Danio rerio: one gene and its partners. Each later gene encodes a partner of the first gene's protein in a complex. Links are inferred from orthologs where the notes say so. Each region holds a gene or a part of one and is shown in the gene's direction. Other genes may lie near its edges.

What was found.
Region 2: chtopa (region 1) and thoc2 share a complex: the UniProt entries of both Homo sapiens proteins name them as parts of the transcription/export (TREX) complex. The link is inferred for Danio rerio from reciprocal best matches to the Homo sapiens genes CHTOP and THOC2.
Region 3: chtopa (region 1) and thoc3 share a complex: the UniProt entries of both Homo sapiens proteins name them as parts of the transcription/export (TREX) complex. The link is inferred for Danio rerio from reciprocal best matches to the Homo sapiens genes CHTOP and THOC3.
Region 4: chtopa (region 1) and thoc7 share a complex: the UniProt entries of both Homo sapiens proteins name them as parts of the transcription/export (TREX) complex. The link is inferred for Danio rerio from reciprocal best matches to the Homo sapiens genes CHTOP and THOC7.

Annotation. Positions count from the first base shown.
Region 1 is NC_133194.1:26,306,906-26,310,967, reverse strand, and holds the end of chtopa (chromatin target of PRMT1a), read left to right. Parts: intron 1-1,401; coding exon 1,402-1,536; intron 1,537-2,683; coding exon 2,684-2,883; 3' UTR 2,884-3,519; downstream 3,520-4,062. UniProt on the Homo sapiens protein: Plays an important role in the ligand-dependent activation of estrogen receptor target genes. May play a role in the silencing of fetal globin genes.
Region 2 is NC_133189.1:13,022,122-13,025,689, forward strand, and holds part of thoc2 (THO complex subunit 2), read left to right. Parts: intron 1-479; coding exon 480-611; intron 612-1,846; coding exon 1,847-2,031; intron 2,032-3,568. UniProt on the Homo sapiens protein: Component of the THO subcomplex of the TREX complex which is thought to couple mRNA transcription, processing and nuclear export, and which specifically associates with spliced mRNA and not with unspliced pre-mRNA.
Region 3 is NC_133189.1:29,777,532-29,781,690, forward strand, and holds the start of thoc3 (THO complex subunit 3), read left to right. Parts: upstream 1-1,325; 5' UTR 1,326-1,337; coding exon 1,338-1,517; intron 1,518-3,579; coding exon 3,580-3,736; intron 3,737-4,052; coding exon 4,053-4,159. UniProt on the Homo sapiens protein: Component of the THO subcomplex of the TREX complex which is thought to couple mRNA transcription, processing and nuclear export, and which specifically associates with spliced mRNA and not with unspliced pre-mRNA.
Region 4 is NC_133186.1:21,694,253-21,698,322, forward strand, and holds the start of thoc7 (THO complex subunit 7 homolog), read left to right. Parts: upstream 1-1,243; 5' UTR 1,244-1,274; coding exon 1,275-1,293; intron 1,294-1,910; coding exon 1,911-2,031; intron 2,032-2,164; coding exon 2,165-2,292; intron 2,293-4,070. UniProt on the Homo sapiens protein: Component of the THO subcomplex of the TREX complex which is thought to couple mRNA transcription, processing and nuclear export, and which specifically associates with spliced mRNA and not with unspliced pre-mRNA.

The DNA of each region.
Region 1 (4,062 bases):
CATTTTTTGTTGTGCTGGTTCAAAGTCTCTTCACAGTCTAATAGTAATGATTACAGTAAATGATCTAAATGTATTTATATGTATTTTTATATTTTGGGTAAGGCATAAAACAAAAAAATGTTCATCCTATTAAATGGAGTCCGACCGACATCTCTCAATTCCGATAAGTAGCACAATCTCTTTGCAAGCAAATGCAGATTTGAACAACTGCGCAGCTGTTTGTACGCATCTCCGCCGACTGAGATCGGTAAAAACATGCTGAATCAAAACTTTTTAAAAACCTGAATCAGTATTGGAGTTACCTTTGCATGCTGGAGAAAGGATGACAACATGTCTGAAAGATTTCTCTTAGACAAGTAATGTTCTGTTTTAAAACTGTTTTAACTTCACGCAAAGCTGATGTAACGTTGTTACAAATGGGTTAAATCTTAACAGAAATGTTGTTCAGCTACTAAAATATTTCGATGAAGGACTGATGAGACTATTTTCAGTTTCATAAGAGACCTTTTACAGCATCGATGATGTACATTTTATTTAGTTTAACAACTAAACACAAGTAAATACAGCTAAACGCCTAGTCTCTCCCTATATTGTTTACCATGCAACTCTAAATATTCCCTCTAAAATCGCATGTCAGTTTGGCTTGCACGCCGCCGGACAAGCACTAGTTGTTTTTAACACATGAGAGAGGGTTCTTTTGCGGTGCTCGTGTTTCAGGAGGCGTAGCTCTTAGACGGCAGGGGAGGCACTGTGATTCAGAGATTTATGCTAAGCTGTTAGCATTGTAGAAGATCACCTACTGCAACTTTAAGTTAAAGGTTTGATACTGATTAGCACTTGCAGTAGTGATGAGGTCTTAAAATATTCCGAGAAGGTCTTTTAAACCGTTTTAAAAAGGTATTGAAATTACCTTTTAGGATTCTTGCATATACCCTGTTATAGCTCTTGGACCAGGGTGAGATCAACCCACACTTTCTCCAATCCCTGGGGCTCTATGATGGTTGTGGATATTTCAAATTGAATCATAACAAATGATTACAATTGACTGAGATTGTCATTGAACGTTCGCAAATGTGCTTTAACTGGCAGAGCAGCAAAATCTCTCTCTCTCTCTCTCTCTCTCTCTCTCTCTCTCTCTCTCTCTCTCTCTCTCTCTCTCTCTCTCTCTCTCTCTCTCTCTCTCTCTCTCTCTCTCTCTCTCTCTCTCTCTCTCTCTCTATATATATATATATATATATATATATATATATATATATATATATATATATATATATATATATATATATATATATATATATATATATGATCAGACCTGCTTAAAGAGAACTATTGCATGCATCCCACAAGTGTTTTTTCTTTTCTTCTTGTGAAAAGATTGCTCTTTTTTTTTTTTTTTCCTAGGTGCAGGTCAGATGAGAGGTAGAGGTGGTCCTGGACGCATGGGTTTCCGCCGAGGGATGCGTCATCGGGGAGGAGCTCCAGGACGAGGAGCTCTAGGAGGTCGAGGTGCAGCACGTGGAATGCCTGGAGGAAGAGGTGAGAAATATTAAGCACAATTCTGCCAAGTACAGGGTTCTTACGGGTGCTGGAAATCCTGGAAAATGCTTGATTTTTAATATAGTGTTTTTAAGGTTAGAAAAGTGCTTGTGTTTTGAACAAAGTGCTTGAACCTGCTTGAATTTGAACTTAAAGGGCTCAAAATTGTGACCGTTTTGGTTGCATATGCGCACGATTTTATCTATGTGACCTCGAAATATATTTGGAAGCATGTGTGCTAGTGCATAAATTGTTGTCGTGCGACCAGTTTTCATTGCAAAATGTTCACCGCATGCGCGTATTTATGGAGCTAATAATAAGCCAAAACATTCTGAATCTGAATGTCCTATTAAAAAAAGTTTTGAATTTGTATTTCTTAACTTGATTATTGAACATCTGAAAACTTAATATTTGAAGTCAGATTTTTATAGACATTTTTAAACTTCAGATTTTTTTTGGGTTCTGAATTCATGCAGATATTGGGTATGTAAAAATAAGACTGCAGATATTGGGTATGTAAAAATAAAGTTTTACGTTTTTAGGAATTCAAATTAACAATTCAAATTCGGATAGTTTTGGCACTATTAGCTTCATACGTATTTTGGAGACATTCATCCAGAATGCATCTTTTGCACCTGAAATGCAAAACCAAAGACTGTAAAAAAAAAAAATAGTGACTGGTCCTGAAAGTTTGGTACTACACCCAAACAAAATCTGACTGTAAGCTCATTTCTTAAGATATCAACTTTAGGTAGAAAGAGGCCAAACTTAAAAACATACTTCACCCAATAACTGAACATTTTTTTATTTATTTTTTAATCACTTTTGGGTGAACTATCCCAATAAATCTATGCTCTAAAGTACTCAATTTAAGTTGAAATGTCATATCGTGTGGTTTTTAAAGTAGCACAATGTATTTAAATGTGAAAAAGTACATACAACATGTATAAGTGCAATTAATTATTACTATTAGGTGCTGGAAAAGCATGCAAATGCACCTTGAAAGTGCTTGAAAAGTGCTGGAATTTGAAGTTGGAAAAGGTGTAAGAACCCTGCTAGTAGTGTTTTCAGTTTTGCTCTAATCAGTGAAACCCATACAAAAAGCATTTTCCATCTCACCATACTAAAGCATTTCGTTCTCTCTTAGGCCGTGGAGGTATGAGAGGCCGTGGAGGGTTTGCTGGAAGGGGTCGTGGACGTGGCAGAGGCAGAGGAGCAGGTCGTCCCATCGTCACACGCGAGCAGTTGGACAACCAGCTTGATGCGTACATGTCTAAAACCAAAGGCCATCTGGATGCAGAGTTGGATGCGTATATGGCCCAGGCAGATCCTGAGAGTATGGAGTAGACCCTGTTGAGCTGAGACACAGCAGCTCCCAAAGATCTGCAAATAATAGACTGATCGATGACATAATCATCCAGTACCGTTTAAGCTTCCGCTGCTGTTGGACACTCCCTAAGACATTTACATTTTAAGGCGTTCAGACTTGAAGTTTGTACAAAGTTATGAATTTATCCCAGTTACATTCAGAGATTTGAGAGTTTTCACTCGCGGCTTCTGAATACAATCACAAATCCTCATCACAAGTTATAGTTCTAAAACAGAGGGCCTGTTAGGAAAAATGTTGGCTGTTAAGTGAAGGAATTTTGTTGTTGATTGAACTGTAATAAGAGATTGTACCTCTGCTATTTTTGGCTGAAATTCTGAAAATGGCCTAAATGTGTGAACAGTGAACTCCAAATGACATTTGATGACTCTGTGGTAAAAATGTGGCTTGTGTAAATGAACAGATGTTAATGACTGTAATGTTCTACACGTCACTTACCTTTTTATTATTATATTTTTATTTAGTATTTTTTAAGGTAGAACTTTTATTCATTACATACAGTCTTGTTTTTGTCAAAAAATGTTTTAACTATATTGTAACCCACAAACTTTTTTTTCTTTTTTCTTTTGGCATCGAATAAATCTTGGCTAATAAGATCTTGTGCTCTGGAGGACATTATCATTCTAGACATTCATTTTCATCACCGGGAAACATCCATCCATACATATACACGCATACTCTGCGGCCAATTTAGCTTACCCAATTCACCTGTACCGCATGTCTTTGGACTTCTGGGGCAAACGAGAGCACCCGGAGGAAACCCATGTGAACATGGGGAGAACATGCAAACGCCACACAAAAATGCCAACTGACTCAGCTGAAGCTTGAAACAGGGACCTTGCTGTGAAGTGATTGTGCTACCTACTGTGCCACTGTGATGCCCTCTTTCTAGACATCATTAACATGAATGATCATGTGGTATTCACTTTTTTTCTTCTTTTTTTCTCTTCTCCAACATGTTTTAATTTTAGTCTAAAAAGTAGATACAAAAGTGGTTTATGTATGCTTATTAAAAAATGTATAACTTTTGTTTCTGCTTATTTGGTAATAAAAAAAATCATTTGAATGTTTAAATTGTGCATGCTGCATTTCTCTCAATAGGTAGATAGATGCGTAAACTTGGGTACTGTGTGTGTGTG
Region 2 (3,568 bases), on another chromosome or scaffold:
GCTGATCAGAACGCGCGCCACAACACAGCTGATCAGAACGCGCGCGACAGCACCGCTATTCAGCACGCGCGCGGCGACAACACCCGCTTTAGGTTCGATCATTTCCATCTTTTTTTCATCTCCGCTACTAGCAGCACACTCCATTTCCGCATTACTGGATCTGTAGCGACAACAGACCGCAAAGGATTATGGCCACGCCGGGGCTGATGGGAAATGAAGTTTCAGCTACGTCCCGTTCGCTTCATTCGCCTGAGCAAATTTTCTCAGGAGACCTATAGTTTTACCGAGTCATGCGACTTCGGTAATATCGAAAAAAATTAATATTGCGGTATGACGGTATTTACAATACCGTTACATCCCTAATACATACGTTAATGTTTTATATATATATATATATATATATATATATATATATATATATATATTATATACTGTATTATGTTTGTCTAGTTTTAATTTGTTATTGGTTCTTTTGCTAGGAATGTGGTAATTACCCAGGGTTCCTGACTATTTTCCGAGCCAGTGGTTTCGACGGAGGGAACAAAGCAGATCAATTGGACTATGAGAATTTTCGACATGTTGTCCACAAATGGCATTACAAGTTGACTAAAGTGAGTATTTTACTATACGATTTTTATTACTCATATAACAAAATTGTTTTGTTACTTTCACACCAGAGGCTTGTTGTATTGTGCAAGAACCCACTTTTCTTAGCTTCACATAATAGGAATTTTTGTTAAAGGAACATTTTAACTAAATTAAAAAGAACTAAATTTATTCAGCCTAGCTTTAGCTTGTGTGCTAGGTTTTTTCCTATGCACCTAATTAAAGCTAAGTGAGGCATTTACTAAGACCTCTTACTGTAGCATCTACTCATGATGCTTATGTATAAATTGTACTCAAAGTGTCTACAGACAACTCTTGGCAAGACAAACAAGATCTCATTTTTTAAAAACTGTATCGTTTAGGAAGTAAGATAAGATTCCAGTTCCCCATAAATCATTTTTTAGCAAAAACCAGATGAGACTCTAGACAGCATATTTGAATATGCTTAAATCATGGCCAGGTGGATCTCTCCAATCAAAAATGTTTTTTCCTGAACAAAGAGGCTGTTGACACCCAGTCACTTCATGTATATTTTTTTCTAATCAGATAGCTATTCAGTCAATATATGGGCAGGCGTAAATGCCCTCTGAAATGCATTGGAGATGGATATTAATCCAATTGCTCAGACCACTTCAAAAGGTGCTCTGGGATGCATTTCAGACGATACTGGACAGGTCTAAATGCATCTGGTTATTGAAACCAAATTTTTTTTTCTCTCTCCATCAAAAAAAAATATATATATGATCTGAGCACTTGTTGGCTATATGGCCATCAGATATACACACACAAATGCATGAGCAACTGAAGGCCACAGGTTACAGTTTGAGAACTTTGTTTTACATTACATTTTACATTTATATTTTTTGTTATGTTTTATTTTTGACTCAAAAGTTGAAATTAAATTGTTTAGCATCAAATGACAGTATTAACAACAGTAGCATGCACGTGTAGCCTATCTTTGTGAAAAAAAGTTTAATAATAACATAAAAATATAGTACTGGATTCATTTACAAAGGCACATTGTTCTGTTTTTGGCAGAGTATATCATACAGAAATAAATTTAAACCCTTTACAGTTTTGAATGATGTCTTGCATGTATCAGTATGACAAACATAGATTTATTTAGATTATAAAGTAATCACGGAGCATGCCTTGTGCTCTTGTAATGATGTTTTACAGCCTGCCTATAAAATAATTTGAATTGATTTGTTCATCCTTAAACTTCTGATTTTTCCCTCAGGCATCTGTTCACTGTCTAGAAACGGGTGAGTACACCCACATTCGCAACATTCTGATCGTGCTTACCAAGATCCTACCCTGGTACCCCAAGGTGCTGAACCTAGGCCAGGCTTTGGAGTGTCGCGTTCACAAGATCTGCCAGGAAGAGAAGGAGAAGAGGCCTGATCTCTATGCATTAGCCATGGGGTAACTGAGCCGAGCGCCATCTGGCCTCAGCACTTAGAAGTGTTTTCACCAAACTGGTTTAGAGTGTTCACTGGGATTTAGGATGTTAGATCAGGGATGTGTGAAGTTAGGCCTGGAGGGTTGTGTCCTGCAGAATGATGTCCAACACTAATCAAACACACCTGAACAAGCTGATCAATGTATTCAAGATCGCTGGTAAATCATAGGCAGGTGTGTTTGATTAGGATTGGAGCTAAACCTTGCAGGAGCTCGGCCATCCAGGACTGGCTTTGCCCATCCCTGATCTAGAGATGGTGGTAGTTTTTCATGTTTTAATTGTATTTATTTTTTTGGAAGTTTTAAGGGTGGCTTTTTTCTAAAAATTTGAAGTCATCTAGTTCAGGGGTTCCCAAATATTTCAGCCTGCAACACCGAAAATAACAATGCCATTGATTCGCAAAAATTATAATCATAATTTTCAGCTCTAATAATAGTTTTATACAATTAAATTGGTGTTTCAAAGTTTCTCAGCTATTTTGAATGTTCAGTCCTTTTTGTTAGATTATCCCCAAATTTGCTAAAGTTGATATTGGCTTATTTTCGTTTTCCCAAACATTTTCATTTTAATGTGCTGAAAGTTTTGTGGGCAAAATGCAGTCATTCCATTAGGACCACATAGGACCACAGTTAGACTGAAATAATATTCAGATGCTAATCATTTCTCAGCGGTGACATAGGGGGTTTTCACCATTTACAGGGGTTGTTGGTGATTTTAAAGCTGTTGTTATTTCTGTCCGAATCCAGAATGCAAGTTTACAGAGTTAATATTCCTTAGGAGTCACATCAGTTTTTATTTTATTTTTTTATTTTTTTATTTATCACTTGGTTTGAACAGTTCTTGTGGCTTAAAGTTGACGTTGTAGACCTAAGATGATTAGATGTACCTTCTAAATGAAGATCTTGTTTTGGTCACTTTATTTTAAGGTACAATTCCTGCTATTAACAAACCATTAAGGCATGTAACTCAGTTAAAGTACTAATTTGTTGCTCAGTAATAGTAAAGTATTATTTGAGTTTTAGGAATTTGTAGGATTAGGGATTGCATTAAGTACTAAAAAGCTATTATCTTATAAGCCAGAAGTTAATAGTAAAAATGGGTACCTAAACTAAAATGTTTACCTTATTTGTTGTTTACTTATTTTATTTTTTTAACAATCCTCTGTTCCTGTATGTGTTTTGTTCCTACCCCACTAGGATTTATCATTGCACCTTATCTTATTGAACTTATTGGCCATATTCTTTGTTTTTCTTTATAGACCCAATCAAAAAGAGAAAAATCCTTGTGTGAAAATCCAAAAACTTTTTAAAATACAGCAATTTATGCGTAGTCCACACTGCATGCTTTAGCTCTGCTTTTTCATTAACCAACAGGAGGCAAATAATTTTTATTAATTGGAGGCAAATAGGTGCTTGTTCATGCAACAGATAGTCACGCAGTGTGAATAGTCAAAGACACGATCTGAAAGAATCACTGACTTGTTACAGATGCCCAGGAAAT
Region 3 (4,159 bases), on another chromosome or scaffold:
CTGTACGTGGATTGACCATGGACTCTGCCCGCGAACTGATGTCCTCTTTACCAAAAACACTGATGACAAAACTACTTACACAAAGTACACAGAAAATAAACTTTATTTTTATATGTAGCTACTCCTGACTTTCTAAAGTTCCTACAACCATCCAAAGTAGCCTACCACAGTGACCTGACTTTGAGTTCTTCCATTACACGAGAAGACAATTTAACAAACAACATAAAACACAGTAGGCCACTGACTGAAGTTTAAATGATCTGATTTATAAATGAGGCTTTTGGCTTAAATTATATATAGCTCATATTCCATGATTTTGACATTTGACAGTTTTGACATTTTTATTTATCTCAATGTTTTCAAAGCTTTTTGCCTATAGCCTAGCCTAGTTTACTTAGATTTGGTAGACCTATGATTGTACTTCACACTTATATGAACTTTTGGCATAATACAAACCTTTTGTTTCATTTTTATGAGATATAATATAATTTTGACCTTCTCTTAATTGACCATTATTTGATTTAGGATTTTCATCTCACAATGTTTACCCCATCATTTCAACTTATTTATCACATTCATAACAAATTAGCACATTTTCATATTTTGTCATTTTTTTAACCTAATAGCAATTTTTACAAAAAAAAATAATAAAATTTCTTCACTGTTAACTGTTTATCTCATAATGTTTACTTTTGTGATTTTTTTTTCATTTTATATCATCATTTTAAATTTAAGATTTGTATCCCTAGTGAAACTGCTGATCATATATTTGTTTTTTATTTGCCCTCATGCACAATGCTTTTGGATTGAACTTTTTTTTGGTTATTCATTGCAAAATACTAATTCGTGTTATCTTTTAAGGATATCCTGTTGGGTTTTTTCAATATTCCCGATAATAAAAGTAAGGAGTGTTTCATAATTAATCTCCTTTTAATCCTTGCTAAATTCCATATACACAGCTGTAAATTCTCTCACTCTAGGCTATATTTTGTTTTAATATTTTTGAAAAGGAACTTCAACAGTACATTAAAACTATTGCTTCCTTAAAACACATGATTTTATAATATGTGTTGTTTGTTTTTTAGTAAATTTTTTCCCTTGTATGTGCTTATTTGATGTTTTACTTCTCTGTAAAACTCATGTGCTCTCTTTGTAACAAATGTATGATGATGTTATTGTTACCCTGACAATAATAAAACTAAAAAAAGAAAAGAAAGTTATTTGTATCAGACTTTTTTAAACAATATTATGTAATTGCACTCCCGTACACTAGGTGTCGGTAAGTAACGCAATGCCACAGATTAAGCTTAAATACGCGACGAAGCAGAACTTCAAGCATGGCGTCCTCGTACTATCAGGAGATGCAGGAGGTGTTCAGGAATAACAATAAAAGCAGAGAGTTCCCGGCTCACAGTGCTAAAGTGCACTCGGTGGCCTGGAGCTGTGATGGAAAACGACTGGCGTCCGGTTCGTTTGACAAAACTGCCAGCGTATTTGTCCTGGAAAAAGACCGACTGGTGAGCTTTGTCTTCTCCATCATCCTTCGTTGTCCAAAACATATATTTAATTTATAAACCACGTTCTGCGTAGAACAAGCTGTTTAACATTTAATCTGTAAACTAAACTAGTATCAGTTTTATGCTACTAACGTTAATACCTATTTTTAGATATGTGTGTCTTTTTCATTAAGTACTGATACGTATTCAGTACACTTGTTGATATTTAGCCAACAGTTATTATTTAGCTACTACTACAAGTTAGTTTTCATTAGATGAATTTTAGATTCATTTTAGACAATAAATTAGACACTCGTAGCTATTAAATAGGTACTACTCATTAATTAGACACGTATGAATAGTATATTTTTGTTTAAATACTATTTACTCATCATCACACACTTGTTCTCATTTATTTCATACTAGTATTTATTTCAAAAGTGTCAAGTAACTACTTCTATCGCAGTCTGTTATTGGAATGTGAGGTTTTTAATAATTGTCTAGTACATATTTTTACTATGACTAGTTATTCTGCAAGTACTGATATTTGGGTGGATTTTATTGGAAATAAGGGCTTTTTCAATATGTACTAGTGTATAATTGTTAGACACACAAAGTGATCACGCTCTACAATAAGGTTCCATTGATAATGTTAACTAATTTACCAGCATAACCTAATAATAAACAAAACTTGTACAGCACTTCCATTCAGGCATTGGACAATAACCGTTTTCAAGGTATACCACGGTTAGGAAAAGTCAAGGTTTTAAAACCTCCAACATTTTCTTCTATACCATTCCTATGGTATATGTACGATTTTTTTTAATTTATGGTTTTTGTTGTTGTTGTTTTAGGACAACAGTGTGTCCAGCAGAAAAGATATGCAAACTTGTTTTACATGTTTACTGTTTTAAAATATTTAAAGTCTTTCTCAAAATAAAATATATTGTGTTCAAAGGGGGAAAAAGTTTTTAGTCTTTTACCCTGACATTTAAAAATAATATATTTTAGAACAGTAATCACAATACCGTCAAACCGGGATATTTTTGTCCAAGGTTATCTTACTGTCAGAATCTTATACCTACAATCCCATGCCTACAAAAATCTAAAACAGCTCTCATCTCCTGATGCAAAACAGCGCTCATCTCCTGATGCAAAACAGCACTTGTTAACATTAGTAAATGCACTGTGAGTTGGCAAGAACCAACAATGAGGCTTATTTTCAGTAAAAAACATTAACAAAGATGTATAAATACTGTTTGTTGTTTTTCATTATAGTAACCTCATTATCTAATGAAACCTTATTGTAAAGTTGTACTGTCATATCTAATAAATGCTTTGTTTTTATTTAGAAAGCAGTATTTACTTATTAGATACTCCATCATTTATTAGAAACTCATTCTTATTACAAGTACCTCTTTAACAGATGCTAGTAGTTATTTATTGTATCCTAGTACTCATTTATTTGGCACAAGTATTTTTATGTAGTTGTTATGAGTTGCTACTAGTATTACGAGTCACTACTGATTTTTATTTTTTATTTTTACTTGTCACATTTTGACTATTTTGGATGACTGTATAAGTGTTCAATTAAACATGTGCTAGTTAAATAAAGATATAATAAACATGAGTAGATGGCGTTGTATGTACTAGTATCTTTTCAGTATGTACTTAATGAATAAGAACTAGTTTCTAATGATAATCGGTAGCTAATGAATTACTACCAGTTTATAAACATTGTCACAATCGGAATACATTGTGAAAACTGACATCTTGTGACAATTGTGACATCTCAATGACAGACCTGTACAGAAGTCAATGGCAAATACCTAATCAAGTTACTAATTAATTTAATGTCTGCAAAATTACTTATCATTTCATTGACATTATGCATATTAATTATGTTTTAGCTGCAATAACAAGCTTTTATAGGTCATCCATTTGCCAAAAACATTACTATACTTATTCTATATCAGAAAAAACGGTTAATATTCACAGCATTGGCTACAATGCGGTTTATTATTTTACAATTTATTTGTCTTGACTAGATGTGATCTAGCTCATGTATTATCATATGTATTAGGTGAAGGAAAACAACTACCGTGGGCATGGAGACAGTGTGGATCAGCTGTGCTGGCATCCCACCAACCCTGATCTGTTCGTTACTGCATCAGGAGACAAGACCATCCGCATCTGGGATGTGCGGACCACCAAATGCATGGCCACAGTCAGCACAAAAGGTGAAGCTCTAAAGCTTAAAGTGATAGTTTACACAAAAATGAATACTCTCTCATCATTTACCCACCATTGAACACAAAATATAACATTTTAAAGAACATTGGAAATCGTTACTTATTGACTACCGTAGTATTTGTTTTTCATTTTATGGATGGCAATTTCCAACATTTTTCTAAACATCTTCTGTTGTTTTTAACAGACAAAATAAACTCAACTTTAGAAACTCTTGAGGATTGAGCTATGGCTTTCAATGTTATATGTTTTATTCTTGTGAGATTATATTATTTATTGGTTTATTGATTGTCTGACTATGTTTAGGGGAGAATATCAACATTTGCTGGAGTCCTGATGGTCAGACCATCGCTGTAGGTAACAAGGATGATGTTGTAACGTTCATTGATGCCAAAACACACCGTCCACGTGCT
Region 4 (4,070 bases), on another chromosome or scaffold:
GCAAATAATTCCTTTCTGAAATATAATTATTATATAATAATAAAATTATTATGGAGAATGTCCAAGATGTCCTAAAATCAACTTTACCTCATTCTCAGTCAAGCAAATTTAAAATATTTAAATTCACATTTTAATTCATGTTGAATTATTTTCATATCTACGTAAAAAGCTTTGTATTCATAAACTGAATCATAATGGCACAAACTGAACTGACGAAGCAAAAGAAAGATGGATTTTAAAACGTCTTATTATTTCATAATATACTATGTTATATGTAGCCTATGTAGCCAGAGGGGGTTCAGAAAAAAAAACCCTTACTGACAAATGTGCAGAATTTTTCCCATTCATGAGCTCATATGTCGTATTTTGACTGCTACATGCCATCATAAATAGTAAAAATAACCAATTAAAAAGGCATAATCCTCTGTTGGCTGTTGCTTCGGTGTGACTTCAGCAAATCAGTCTTGGTCAATGCTAACAAATGTTTTTGATGATCAACATCTAGCTGTGTAGGAAATCACACAATCTGACATAAGTGACGTCATCTTTCGCTACTGTTTGTAAACAGAGAAAACGTTTTACAAGTAACTTTTGTTCTAAATCTTGGAACTTATCTTGAAACTAAAAATGAGCAATAAAAAGGGTGGCCTATAGTAAAATTGATTTGAATACTAATTAGGCTATTGTTATCCTTAATTTTCAAATGCACTTTTTAACATGTAAGGCTAGAAAATTGTAAAGCTTTTATTATTATTATTTTTTATTATTGAAATGGCCAAATTCTGACTGAAGAAATTGAATGTGCTGGCTAGATTGTTATTTGCCTAATAAATGACACTAGACAATAGTTTTTAACTTAAAACTTTTTCAGATTCCTAATGTATTTTTAAAAAGCTAAATCATGATTCATAACTGAACTGACGATATTGCTCAAACAAATTGACGAGTCTTGTGGAACCACACTTTAAAACGAACTGTTCAAATGAACCGATTCGCGAAAATGAATCTCATTTCTCAATACTGTCAAAAACTAAACTAACTACCTACTAATACAGTATTTCTGAAAGACACGCTATCAGTCGACTAGTCTAAAACGAGTTTTCAGCAAAACATTTAAATGACTTTGTAATAATAAAGTAAAAGCTAGCCGTTCAGAAAACTGTTGTGAGCTCGGCGGGTTTGCTTCGCAACAGAGGCGGGGCGCTGATGCCTTGCGTGTCCGCGCGCGCCTGACAATAAAGTTTTTTCTAACAGTCCAGTTAGCCTGCTGGAGAATGGGTAGCATTACTGATGGTAAGATTTTCCTTTGTTTTATTTTTCTTAACTATCATGTAATTGTAATTTATGTAGCAAATCTGAAGGAATTATTACAGTAGCGTACGTCCATGTTTTTATTTCCTGGAAACTAAACGAACTCCTTTGAAATGTCTACATGAGGAGTCTTAGCTAACAGTTAGTTAGCCACATGCTAAAACTGATTAACTAAAACAAGTTACAAGATGTATAAGTATAATTTATTACGCTGACTTTGGTTTTGGATAGGCATTACAGTGATATAAAATATATTGGTAAGTATAATATGTAAATACGATAATATGAAAATTTGATGGCACCCTTCTGACACTTTTCAATGTTGGATCAATCAGTTAAATCAAGCATCAAGGTTGGAAAATAAACTGATTTTTTGCTGAATTTAGAGATTTACTTTGTTTCAAAAATAATCAAGCAGAATATATATATATATATATATATATATATATATATATATATATATATATATATATATATATATATATATATATATATTGTTCCACATTTAGTCACTGAATACAATTTACAGTATAATATCTGTGCTATGCTATTTAGACCTATATTTAGACTAAATAATATCTATGTCTCCTCCCTCACAGATGAGGTTATTCGGAAGCGTCTTCTGATCGATGGAGATGGAGCTGGAGATGACAGACGCATTAATGTGCTCATGAAGAGCTTCACCAAATGGTGCCACTCCAGTTTCTCACCAGAGGAGGGGTAATTTACATTCTGGTTTAACTTTATATACCTGACTTGATAAGATTTTTTTTTTCTTTTCCTTTAAAATATTCCACTGATTAGTTACCACGACCTTGGGTGTAATTACTTTATCATTCATATGTGTCTGCAGGATGTCTCAGTATCAAAGAATGATGATGTCCTTGGCTCAGTGTGAATTCTCCATGGGGAAAACCTTGCTTGTGTACAACATGAACCTGAAAGAAATGGAGAATTATGAAGGAATCTATACCGATATTGGTAAGACTTCTTGTTGACTTCCCTGCTTTTTTCTTTTGGGTTGATTGGATTATATGCTGACAAGGGAGACACATTCCTGTTTGCACTCATTGTTTTAATCTACATCTTTTGACTATATTAAATATTACTTTGAGGGCAGGATATTAGGCATGGGCCGGTATATGTTTCTGACAATATTATAACCTTGGATAAAAATATCACGGACACATGGTATTGTGATTACTGCTCTGAATTATATTCTTTTTAAATGTCTGGGTAAAAACAAAAACTTTGAACACTATATTTTACTTTGATAAAGATTTAAAGTATTTTGGAGCAGTGAATATGCCAGGCTAAATAATTCAAAATGAATCATTGATTTCTTTCCAATTTAAAACAACCTCTTTGGATATCTTTTCTGCTGGAGATACTGTTGTTCTGAACTCTATTTATACCGTAGCAAGAGTAAAGCAGAAATTTAGGACTTTACTTTTCCAATGCGCAGTATACCTTGAAAACGGTTATCATCCCATGCCTACAGGATAAAAGGGTGGGTGTTTGTGTAAGCTTTTTCAATTATTTCTAATATCGCAAAATAACCTTGCATAATAGAAAATGATACAGAGTGCTGCAGCCTTCATTTCTGCTCTGGTGGCTACAAAACTACACCAAATTCAGATCAGTGTGTTAAATCTGTGAATTGTTTATCGTAGACTCTCTTTGATCAAATAATTTGAATCAGTGAATCATTCAAGGGAGATACTCAGACTGAAAACATCATTCAAATCAGTTATTTGTTGACTCGTAAACATGTCTATCCAATTCGCAAATTAATTGTTCAGTGCAATTTGTGAATTGATTTAACTGGCTAACTGATAAAATTCAGCTTGTTCACGAATCAAGTTGGATTCAAAAGTGCAGTATTTTGTTTTGTATTCTGATTTTCAATCAGAACTTTTCAATCTGCCTTTTATCAGTGATTTTTATGGCGAGTTCAGACTGCATGATTTTCAAAGTAGTCATGTCACAGATGTTTTCACCCTGTATGACTGTCGGGGGTAGTATTTCATCGCTGCTTTGTTTACCCTGCAAGATGGATTGGCAACGGGGGGTTCACACTGTATGATTTAGAATAGGAAGAATTGGCGACAACTTTGTCCCGGTCTACAAACTACATCTCAAAACCAAGCACAGAAGAAGTGACATGGAAATAATGTAGTATATCTTTTGTCATGAACTATATAATGAGAATAAAGCCTTTAGTGGGGTAGAAAATTTACTTATTTTGCTCACTTGGCCTTTAATAGGAATTAGCAATTTCTCCTCAACTTTTTCTTTTTCGACCCGGTTGCTCAGATGACACTTCAAACAGAAACGGGTGCTCCTGCCAAATTTACACTAGTTGTTCCTCCATTTTTTGGGGTCCAAATAGACAAAATAGAAGCACTTTTAACTTGTTCCCCAACCTCCCGCTGGCCTGCAGATTTCACACGGCATGATTTGAATCGTCGACAGATCCAGCTGTTTAGCACACTGAATATCTCACATGTGTCTACGACACATCACCGATTCTCTCCGATTGTGTCTTTGATAGTTCATACTGTGTGGTTGATACTTGCGTGAATGAGTACCTATTTGCCTGTGATTTCAGGCATTTTTTGCAATTTCTTGAAACCTGTTGTCGAGTCAAAAATCAGGGCTAAAATCATGCAGTTTGAATTTGGCATTATTTTGCTGAGTGTTCTGTATTTTTATAGTTATTATTTTTTTGTATTTTTTTTTGTTTAAAAAGGAAAGGT